Canis lupus familiaris: one gene and its partner. The protein of the gene in region 1 interacts with the protein of each later gene in a biochemical or structural test. Links are inferred from orthologs where the notes say so. Each region holds a gene or a part of one and is shown in the gene's direction. Other genes may lie near its edges.

Region 1 (5,655 bases):
AAATTATTTTTATTATTTATCCATACTAATGTGACTATACTTCACTCATTGTCACTGTTGAATAGGACTCCATTGCATTCATATGCCACAATTAATGTATTCATTCTCTGGTTGATGAGCAATTGGATTTTTTCCAGTGTTTTTAAATTTTCTATTAGAAATGGTTCTTCCATAACAATTCTTGCACATGGCCTTGGTGTACACAGTATATTCGTACTGCTTTCTCATGTCTATGACCCAAATTACTTTGGTAATAACAAAGTGTTTCCAGAGTGATTGTACCTACTTGAATTTTTGTCAACAGTGCATAGAGTTCCAAATTTTCTCTAAGGTTGGGATTGTCCATTTGTCATCTGTTCATCTAGAGATTAATTTTCATGTGCACTGTGCCATGTAAATTGTGACTGTTTATTACAGTACGTTGTTCTCCATGTGTTGTGGAAACCATGCCGTGTGGCCTCATTCTTTTTACGAGTCATTAGCTAAGACTTGGTACCCTTGATCTCCAGGCTTGCATTGATCTTCTTGGAAAGCTGGTTACAGCTGCAGAGCAGTTGTGGCAGCTTGGAACATTATGGTAGTCATGCTACACACCACATGGGGCAAAATGTCCAGTCTGGAAAAGCAGACTCTCATTTTTATTATGTCAGACTAATACAGTAAGAAAGAAGAAAGACAAGTGGCTGTAAAAAGAAAAAGCAGAAGTGTAACTCTTGCCGCTGCTTTTTTTTTTCTCTGGGGAAATAAGAAGTTGCCAGTCCAGGTGCTAAACAGATTTGTTAGTTGAGAGAAAAGTCAAGTGGCTGATGGGGTGCACTTTACAGTAATTTAGAAGAAACAGGCTGGCTATCATCATCCCACTCAGTGAAGCTTGATTTTCTTGATCCTTGGTGACATTGTAATAGCTTTCCCTGTTCCCATCTACTAGTTTTGTTTTGTTTTTGTTTTTGTTTTTCAGTTAAGAACTATGGAGAGAGGATAGGTGAGGCTCTAGGACTCCTTCGGGATACACTGCAAGGAAACTGAGCTTCTTGTTTGGGGAAAATAAACAATTGGAAGAGGCAAGTGCTTGAATTTTTCTCATGAAAGATTGTCTGCTCCCTTGCTGGCCTGGCCAATTTAGTGGCTTGGCCAAGCAGAAGGGCCCCACCCTTTAATAGCTTTGAGGATTCTGCTCCTGAACACCTGGTCGAACTAGAAATTCAGAGGCAGAACATGAATGTGAACAATCAAGATTTACCTAGAGAAATATAGAACCTCTGTTTGTACAAAGAATAGATACAGAAGGGAAGAAATCCATCTACCACTTGTACTCTGCCAGAGAGGCTGCCTCTCCCTCCCCTCTTCCTTCTCCTCCTCCCTCCCGTTCTCCTCCCCACTCCTCCTACCCCACCTCATTCAGGTCTCTCCTTTTGGCTCTTCCTCCCATCTCCCCTTCTATCTTCAGCCAGACCTGGGGTCTGTAACAGGAGAGGTAACTTGGAGCCTCTGCTATGTCCTTCTTATATATTCTTCAGACCCAGGAGAGGATTAGTCACTGAATAAATGTGCTAAATATGCACCTTCTTCACAAAGGTGAGCAGGAATTTCTTGCTGGGTGCAGGGAAGTGTGCCCAGACATAAAAGGAACTGTCCCTCTCATTTTCCTCCTCCCTGACTTAAACTGCCTTCTGCTCTCTAAATGACAGTACAGAAATGCCGTTTTCATATCATGGTTCTTTAAGTGGAAAAATTTATCCATGAATTTATGCAAATGAACAGAAAGTCCCAAAGAGACCTGATGGAATTGATTATTCTGCTTTTCCTTGAGCCCAGGAAGCAACTGGGGACAGAATGACACCTGCTAAAAACAGGGCTATGTGTGTTTGGGACAACAGGAAGTAGTGACCATCTAGAAGCCAGTCCTGACCTGATTACAAATCTGGTTATAAAAGAAAGCAGCTGGAAAGAAATTTGCATGTCCAATAGGTTTCACTATTAAAGTTTACACGACGTGGAGTAATCAGCCAAGCCGGCTGGCTACCCAGATCACATGATTATGTAGAAACATGAAACTTGACTATGTGCTCGAGCAAGTTTTACTTCTCCCTACTGTAGGGTGTTTGCCAGCAGCCTGCACTCTCGGAAATCAGACTCAAGTGACTGGGACCCTTGAGATCAAAGGCTTACCATGCTTCTCCCTAAGAGGGCCAGGGCCTGCTGACATTACTGCTGACGGTTATTCGTGGTTCTTATAATTAACAAAAAGAATGGACAAGCTTAATAAAATAACTGTCCCTGCCAGTCAGAAGTTGAGGTAAGATTTTCCTTATCTAATACTTCTCCTTCCTCTGCTTCTTCTGCTTCTTCTTTTTTTTAATGCTCCTACTGCATCTGAGAAATATTGAAATCCTGGAATACTTTGCTAGTTGTAAGGCAGTGGGTGGCAGTTGCTATAGGGAAGTAGACTGAGTTTTTAAAGAGATATGTAGGAACAAGTGGGCTTATTCCTGCTGGTTTTAGCTATTGAAAGATTAAGGTAGAAAATTCTGGAGAATTCTGGCTTAGATTCTACTAAAGTTCAGCTTTCTGAGTCTGAATACAACAAACTAGTCTAAGGAAGGGTTTGTCTAACCCTTGTTTAACCTTTGCTAAACGCTTAACTATTTCATTGTGGATTACTATTTAATATTTAATGTTAAGGATCATTGTAATCATTTGTATTCATTGTAGTTGTACTATCTCTTATTTATTTTGTGGGTGTATATCACAAGTGCTTGGGGACAGGAGATCTGTTTTTCCAGTGTTCTTATGTCAGTATAACAATTATCTATAAAAAAGCCACTTGGAAAAAAAAAAAAAAAAACAGAAGTGGTGCAAGGAGCAAGAATCAAAAAACTCCTCTGAGTTATGGAAAAGACAATGTCTCAAATTCTCATTTGGAAGATCTTTTTGTCTCATTGTAACAGCATCATGTTTTTAGAGACTGAAACTTTTAAATACACAATGAGTGTTCTATATTCCAACTACCATTTGAACTTCAGTTTTTAGAGGGTGATATGACACGTGAAGCAAGTAAGTTTCCACAAATAATAAGGAGCTAGAGAATTAGAGCTTTTGAGACAAAATTTATGAGAAATTAGCCTGGAATTGGTAGAGGGATGGCCCTTTACAGTGAGAGTATGCATCTTACATTTGGCCGGTGCTTGGTAAATAGTGGTTTGAAATGAACTGCTGATCTGGGACCAGTAGGCTCCATTAATGTGCTCAGACATTTCAAGGGTGTGTTGGTGAGGGCTGCGGTATGACCTGCACTGACAGGGGACAAGAAGGTGCCTCAGCCTTTGCCTTGGTTTCAAGTTGCTACACTCTCATGGGAGGGGGGCAGGTGAATCAATGAAAGTAGTAAGTGACTGAATGAGTATAGAAAAGGAATTGGAAAAAAAAAATTAAAAAAAAAGAAAAGGAATTGGGATAGCCAGGAAAGGTTTCATGGAGAAGATGCTTCAAGAGCTAGGTTTGAGAGGTGGCTTAAGGCAAAAGTAGTGTGAGAATTGGAGGAAAAGCAATGAGCCAGGAGGAAGGAAATAGAGAAGCTGACACTTGAGGCTGGCCTTGACTCAGTGCATTGGTGGGATGACGAGGAGAGTGTTCTGTCCAACAGAGACTATGGAATAGGGTATATGGTACCAGAGGGTAGTCATAAGGGAGAATGTGTCGGGTGTGGCCAGCTCACAGAGGACAGTGAGGCTCTAACTGTGGGGGATTAGAGAATGGTTTACAGGGTTAGAGATGCCATGCCAGCAGGCTTACTAATGGGTGACAGAATGGACTACAGGGGTAGGAAGCTGGGGGCAGGGATATTCTGTAATGACGGTAGTTGAGGAATGACGGCTTCTAGTGTTAGGGGCCTGGACATGGGGCACAGCAGTGAGAAGGGAAAGGAAAGGAGAGGTAAGAAAGACATGCCAAAGAAACTAACAAGGCATGGATATTAGTGCTTCTCTCAAATGAGCAAGAGGGTTTTAAAAAGTCCTTTCTAAACATTCCATAACCTAGAGCTATACCAAGCCTTAGAACCCCTTTTAGGAAATCCAGATCAGAATTTAAGTAAAGGAAAGCACTAGAACCTGAATCACTGTATGATCTCCACCTGCCACCCCCCATCCCTTGGGACAAAGACCAGCTTAATCACAGAGTGGTTGACAGGCAATATGCAACCATAGATTATAGGGTAGAAAACCAAAACTCTACTGTGGATAATCATACACTACATTCATCTGCTTAGGCAGAAGTAACTTTTTCTCCACTTGGTCACTCAGTTGTCTTTACAGAATTGGTCTGTTTTGGTAAAATGTGCACTGCTGACGTGGAACTTTAAAAAAAAATGAAAAAAAATGAAATTGTAAACACGATGGACTTGAAGCACCATCTTAAATATTTTCTAGTTAGATGGGATGGCAAGGAGTAGGGAAATGAAGTAATTGATCCCTATGGTCTGTGTCCTCTGTCCTGACTCGTTAATACCAAATCAGACGGTTGTCTAACTGCAATTATTTGGTACCAGGTGACAGTATAAGTGAAGAGCTGTGTTTATATTCTTAGGTTTATCAAAATTTAGATGAGAATTTGCTTAAATTTTTAGCCACAAAAGTAGAGAGATAATTAGTGTCCATCAAGGGCACATAGTGATCCTGGCCCATAATAATTATCAGATTAAAAATGATATTAATATCATTATTATTCTTTCTTATTAATTCCATAGGTGTGTAATTGAAATCCTGAATAGAAACATAGGACTTTACATTGATCCTTGATAAAGTTTATGTTCATTTCAGTTCTTCTTTTTATCTATTTTGGTTATTCGGTTATTTTGGTTATTTTACCTGTTGGTTGTAACTCCTATGGCATTTAGCTTTGCAAGGACTGGAGGCACAACAAACAACCCTCCTCTGCCTTAACCTAAGTGGCTAATAAAACTGTTGAGCACACAGAGCCCTTCTTGGGTGTCTGGGTCTCACTGCTAGGACTCTTACTTAGAGATCTAATTTCACAGGTTTTGGGACATGGCTTCTCTTCTCGAGTCTTGGAATCCTTAATTGGAATTTCCAGTTACTTGATTTTTCAAGTTCGATTCTTCAGAAACAAATCCACTGGGGTGTCTGGCTGGCTCACTTGATAAAGCATGCGACTCTTGAACTCAGGGTCATGAGTTTGAGCCCCATGTTGGGCTGTAGAAATTTAAAAAAAGAAAGAAAGAAAGAAAGAAAGAAAGAAAGAAAGAAAGAAAGAAAGAAAGAAAGAAAGAAAGAAAGAAAGAAATTCACCTTCTTTTCACCTTCCTGCCACTAGCTCCATCTCTGATACTCTGTTTCTGTCAATAGTATTGTCATCAACCCTAACTCTGATTCATCCCTCTCTGCACTGCCATTTACTACCACACCCTGTAGTCTTTATTTTGTGATACTTCCATATATTCTACATATGGCTTTTCTGTCACATCACCCTGGATAGATCCTCATCTCCCCTGTGTCCCCCATCTATAAAATGAAGAGTTTGGAAACAGACAATTTCCAAAGTCTCTCTCAGCTCTAATGCTATGTGATCCCTTAAGCATGGAGACCATTCTCTGACCCCACTCTTGGGCAGCTTTCAAAGATTTTATCCCAAAGCCCT
Region 2 (5,719 bases), on another chromosome or scaffold:
AGAGCAAGGATTGCAACTGAGCACCTGGGTCCCCGGAGGGAAAGGAGCAGGGCCGCCAGGCCAGAGAAGGGTGACGATGTCCTAGGAGCTGCAACAAGCTCACTGTCCAGGACACCTGGGTGGCTCAGCAGTTTAGCACCTGACTTCGGCCCAGTATGTGATCCTGGAGTCCCGGGGTTGAGTCCCACATCAGGTTCCCTGCATGGAGCATGCTTCTCTGCCTGTCTCTGTCTTTCAATAAATAAAATCATTAAAAAAAAAAAAAACTCACTGTCCTACTCTTGCAGCCTCACAAGCAGGACAAGGGGGTTCCAGGGGGATTGTGCCCAGATTACAGGAGAAGAAACCTAGGCCCAGACAACCAGTCAGTTGGCAGAGCTGAAATCCAAATATAGGAATCAAACTTGTGGCCCATGCTCCTCCACATAGGTGATGGTTGCACTTTTTAAAAAACTTATGGGGGATCCCTGGGTGGTGCAGCGGTTTAGCGCCTGCCTTTGGTCCAGGGAGTGATCCTGGAGACCCAGGATCGAATCCGTCAGGCTCCCGGTGCATGGAGCCTGCTTCTCCCTCTGCCTGTGTCTCTGCCTCTCTCTACCTCTGTGTGTGACTATCATAAATAAAAATTTTTTAAAAAATTAAAAACTTATGAAATGCTTCAAGTATGCAAAACTTCCTATTCCTATTCCTGTGAGAAGAACCCGTGGACACACTACCCAGCTTAAAGAAGTAAAACAAGACCTAAAACCAAGATGGGCAAAGCCCTCTATCCCTCCCAGTCCCAGCCCTCCCTTCCCCCCCAGAAGGAACCCCTCTCAGGAATTGGATGTCACTCCCCCGCACAGTTCACACCTCAAGTACAGGTGCACGTGTCCCTAACGGCACCCGATGTCGTTTCGCCTTTTGGAAACAAGTCAACTGTTGCATGCTACATGTTTTTTGTCATTTTCATGCCGTTTCTGAGATGCAGCCATGTTGACAAGTAGAGCTCAGCTTCTTCCTCTGCGGAGTGCTACTCCACGGGCTGCCTACATCACAATGTGTGCATCCCATCTCCCTTACATGGACTCTTTGTTTCCACATTTGCTACTAAAAATGTCCCTGCAGTAAAATTTTTTCCTAAGTGTCTCCTTATGCGTGAGCGTGATGGTCCCCCGACTGCTCACAAACATCTCAACAATCTCTTGTAATTCCCCACCCCCACTCCTCGGACTCAGTTTCCTTCCACATGACCTACAATGATGCTCCAAGGTATGTGGGCACACGTAAGTGACTTTGAATTTCTGCTCCACCACTCCCAGGCCGTATGACACCAGGCAAGCTACGGCATCTCTCTGGGCCCGTTTTCTCTGTACAATGGGGCGGGGCCTACCTTGCCCACTTGTGGGGAGGCTGACTTGCCTCAAGAACCCTCCGTGGCTCTAACTTCTCACTCAGGTGCTGGGAACATCATCTCATGTTACAACACCGGAGTTATTCTCATCCTCTTCTCTAAATGCTAAGGCTGGGGTGCCCAGCTGGCTCAGTCAGTAAGAGCTGGTGACTCTTGACCTTGGGGTTGTGAGTTTGAGCCCCCTGTTGAGTGTAGAGATTACTTAACAAAATTTTTTTAAGATTTTATTTATTCATGAGAGACACAGAGAGAGAGAGAGACATGCAGAGGGAGAAGCAGGCTCATGCAGGGAGCCCGACATGGGACTCAATCCGGAGACTCCAGGATCAGGCCGTGGGTCAAGGGCAGGCACCAAACCGCTGAGCCACCCAGGCGTCCCACTTTAAAATTAAAAAAAAAAAAAATTTAATGCCAAGGCTCAGAATAGGAAGCCACCCCTAGTCATAGAGCTGGTCGACCTGCCTCATTTTTTTCCTCATGAGCATTAGTAGTAACCACTTTTTACTGAGCAGCTACTATGGGCTGGGCCCTGTGTTCAGAGCTTTGCATGCACAACCCCTTTGAATCCTGGGTTCCAGCACCAAGAAGTGAGGACATGGAGGCTCAAGAGAGGAGATAAGCTTTGCCTACAGCCAGTGAAGAGCAGAGACCAGGCCCAGAAGCTCCGGGCCGGCAGATCACCAGTAGGCAAGAGACACCTCAGACTTTGGCTCCTTCAGGCTTCCTTCCCAGGGCTGGCCTGTGAGGAGCCAGGCCTCGACTGGTCTCTTTCCCCCACCCAGCAACCTCCCCTCAGGGGAATTGTGGCCACAGGTGCAGGGAGCGGTTTCTCTCCACTCCGGGCCTGAAGCACAGTGACAGGGGCTGCCCCCCCTCCTCCAGCCCACAGCTGAAGGGGCCCAGCCGTGGGGCCATTGGAGCCCATCTCCGGCAGGGCTGGGCAGGAAGTGGGGCGGGGTTTCGGGGCAGCCGAGGTGGAATCTGGTACCCCAGGACTGCTGCTCCCCAGACCAACCACCCCACTGGGAAAGATGCCTGGGGGTCCCGGACTCCTCCAAGCGCTGTGTGCCACCACCTTTCTCCTCTTCCTAATCTCTGCTGGTGGCCTGGGTACGTGGCTAACAGGCTGGTGCTGGGAGGTGGGGGCTGGTGGGGCGGGGAGGACTGAGGAGGCTGGAGAGAGGGCAGAGGCAGAGACGAAGGCACTGGGAGTGGAAGTGAAGAGCCAGCAGGTGTAGGGGGGTGCCGGGAAAGCCCCTAAAGAAACTGCATCCACCTGCTTGACCATCCTGAGCAGGCCGCAGGTCCGAGGGGAGGCTGCAGGGGATTCGGCAAAGTTGAAGGGGTGTCCACAGCCACATGGACGGAGAACAGGGCGACAGACGACTTCCCCACCCCCTCATCCCCACAGGTCAAAATAAGGAACTAAGGTTGCCCTTGACTGAGCTCCAGAGCTGGGGGCAGGAAGGGGACTTGGGGGTAGCTCTCAGCTTCAGAGAGAAGAAACAGCTTTCTCCTTCTTTGCCTTGAATCTCCGTCACCCCACTGTGTAGGGAACCCCTTCTCAGTGCTGGGGAAGGGGGCTCCTCATCAAGACACTGCCCTCCTGGGGCTTCCTCCCCACCTCCACCCCATACAATGCCAGCTGGTGGGGCTGTGACTGTCCGGGTTACACACTGGGAGTGGGGCCAGGGATTGGCTCCCACGCCCCTAAGGTTGCTGCTTCTTTCTCCACCTCTTCCTCCTCCTCTCTCCCTCACCTCCCACCTCCTCCCTCCAAAAGAAGCAGAGCCAGCCAGGTGGGTGGGCCTGCCTGGGGGACTGGGAGCTGGGGTTTCCCCAGCAGCCAACCACTTCGCTGAGGCCCTCCCCTAACCCCCCACCCCCACCCTCCGCACACCCAGTTGCCAACCTAACTCACTCCTGACCCCCAGGTCTACACACACAAGTTACAAAGAACAAGACGGGTTTGAGGTCACAGGGCAAGGTAGGCCCAAAGGCTCAGACTTTGAGATGCTAGCCTCTCTTGCTGCCCTGGTGATGCCAGGCAATCAACGCATCCTCCTTGGGCCTTAGCTGTCCCACCTACAAAATGGGATAATGAGAGAACCTACCTCGAAGGGGTTAGTGAAGATTACACCAGATAAAGTGCCAGGTGCCAGGAGAAGCTGGGGGCTGGGAAAGCGAGCCTGGAAGGCCTTCAGGAGGAGGAGGTGATGCCCAGACTGATCCTGGAGGTTGCTACCTGGTCCAGGGCACTCCTACTGCAAGGAAATCAAATATCCAAACGCCACTGAGTTCTCTGGGGGCAAAGGACAGAGCGCAGGCAGGGAGGGTGGCAAGAGATGGCGCTGGTGAGGTGTGGGGACCTGCAGGGGTGTGTCACCACCCCAAGGTGTCTTACACTCCTCCTCGGGAGTGTCTTCAACACCCTCCGCACATACACACACACAAGCGCCCAGGGGTGCTGCTGCTGCAGGCCAGAGCTGGGGCCCATCCACAGTCCCTGTCTCCTCCTCTCCACAGGCCCCGGGAGCCAGGCCCTGTGGGTGGACGGGGGCCCGCCATCGATGACGGTGAGCCTGGGGGAAACAGCCCGCCTCCAGTGCCTGCATAACCGCAGCAGGCTGTCCAGCAAGCTCAACATCACGTGGTGGCGCGTCCTCCAAGGCAACGCCACCTGGCCCGACATCTTCCTGAGCTACGGCAAAGGCCCCAATGGCGAGCTGACCATCGACACTGTGAACAAGAGCCACATGGGCATGTACCGATGCCAGGTGGAGGAGAAAGATCTCAACCAAAAAATCCTCAGCTCCCAGCAGTCCTGCGGCACCTACCTCCGCGTGCGCGGTGAGTGCCAGCCCTGGTGTGGCTCCCAGGCCACCCGGCCATGCTGCCCCATCTGCGCCACCAGGATGGGGCCGCGGACATCAGAGGGTGGGGACAGGGCTGGGAGGCCAGGAGGGTTGGGGCGGGGAGGCACCAGTGCTCTGAGCAGCACCCCCTCCTCCCAGAGCGGCTCCCCAGACCCTTCCTGGACATGGGAGAGGGTACCAAGAACAACATCATCACAGCCGAGGGCATCATCCTGCTGTTCTGTGCCGTGGTGCCTGGGACCCTGCTGCTGTTCAGGGTGAGCCCCCCGGTGGACCGGGACCCTCTGACGCTGAGGTCCCCTCCTAGCATGGGAGGGTGACAGCCCCATCCCAAGGCTGAGGGGCAAATGAATTAGCACCATGACAGGATTTTGAAGGGGGCAGGGGGTACTCAGCGGGTGGCTCAGCGGTTTAGCGTCTGCCTTTGGCTCAGGGCATGATCCCGGAGTCCTGGGATTGAGTCCCGTCAGGCTCCCTGCAAGGAGCCTGCTTCTCCCTCTGTCTGTGTCTCTGCCTCTCTCTCTCTCTCTCTCTCTCTCTCTCTCTCTCTGTCTTTCATGAATAAATAAATAAAATCTTTAAAAAATCAATAAATAAAGGGGGCAGGGCCCAGAGGGGCCTCCTCACCCCGTCTCCCCTCAGGGTTGTCCTCATACCCCCCAAGTCCCCCTCACCCAGCCATGGTGTCTCGCTCTACCCCCCCCCCACCAACCAGAGGCACAGGAGCCCTCCAGAGGTAGCCAGGGAAGAGGGGCCTGGCTGTCCTCCTGGAGTCTCTGACCTGCACCAGCCCCGCCTTAGGCCACAGGACAGCCACTGCCATTTCTATGATAGTTGTGGCTCCTGCAAGAGCAGTGAGGCAGTAGAGACAGCCAGGGGGACACGGGCTTGGATCCAGAGACACCTGCCACTCACCTGCTATGTGGCTTTGGCCATACCTTACCTCCTCTGGTCAAGCACTTCTCAGCATCCAGGAGGTTCAGAAAACATCTTCTCCTCCCACCTCCCCTCACTGTGGCTCCCAATCCCTCCCTCCCAGAAACGATGGCAAAATATGAAGTTTGGGGTGGATGCCCAGGATGACTATGAAGATGAAAACCTTTATGAGGTGAGTGGGCGAGTGGGGACAGGTTAGGGGCGGGTGCGTTGGGGCTCTCATGGGGGTCCTTCCCGGGGTCACGTGGGGCCGTGGGTCTGGGCGTCAGGGTGCTGAGCCCCACCACCGTGTGTCCACACCCAGGGCCTGAATCTGGATGACTGCTCCATGTACGAGGACATCTCCAGGGGCCTCCAGGGCACCTACCAGGACGTGGGAAGCCTCCACATTGGAGACGGGGATGTCCAGCTGGAGAAGCCGTGACCCTGCAGGGTGACCCTGTGGGCTGCCCTCTCCTGCTGTGTCGCCAGCTCTGGTGTCCCCCCACCCCTTCCTGTTCTCTTTTCATAATCT

What was found. The genes of interacting proteins can lie anywhere in the genome.
Region 2: the proteins of BLNK (region 1) and CD79A form a complex in vitro, tested with the Homo sapiens proteins (2 studies listed by BioGRID). The link is inferred for Canis lupus familiaris from reciprocal best matches to the Homo sapiens genes BLNK and CD79A.

Annotation. Positions count from the first base shown.
Region 1 is NC_049249.1:9,879,696-9,885,350, reverse strand, and holds the start of BLNK (B-cell linker protein), read left to right. Parts: upstream 1-1,988; 5' UTR 1,989-2,249; coding exon 2,250-2,296; intron 2,297-5,655. UniProt on the Homo sapiens protein: Functions as a central linker protein, downstream of the B-cell receptor (BCR), bridging the SYK kinase to a multitude of signaling pathways and regulating biological outcomes of B-cell function and development.
Region 2 is NC_049222.1:113,151,370-113,157,088, reverse strand, and holds the start of CD79A (B-cell antigen receptor complex-associated protein alpha chain precursor), read left to right. Parts: upstream 1-2,330; 5' UTR 2,331-2,424; coding exon 2,425-2,503; intron 2,504-3,507; exon of another isoform or gene 3,508-3,657; intron 3,658-3,919; coding exon 3,920-4,243; intron 4,244-4,407; coding exon 4,408-4,526; intron 4,527-5,308; coding exon 5,309-5,377; intron 5,378-5,509; coding exon 5,510-5,629; 3' UTR 5,630-5,719. UniProt on the Homo sapiens protein: Required in cooperation with CD79B for initiation of the signal transduction cascade activated by binding of antigen to the B-cell antigen receptor complex (BCR) which leads to internalization of the complex, trafficking to late endosomes and antigen presentation.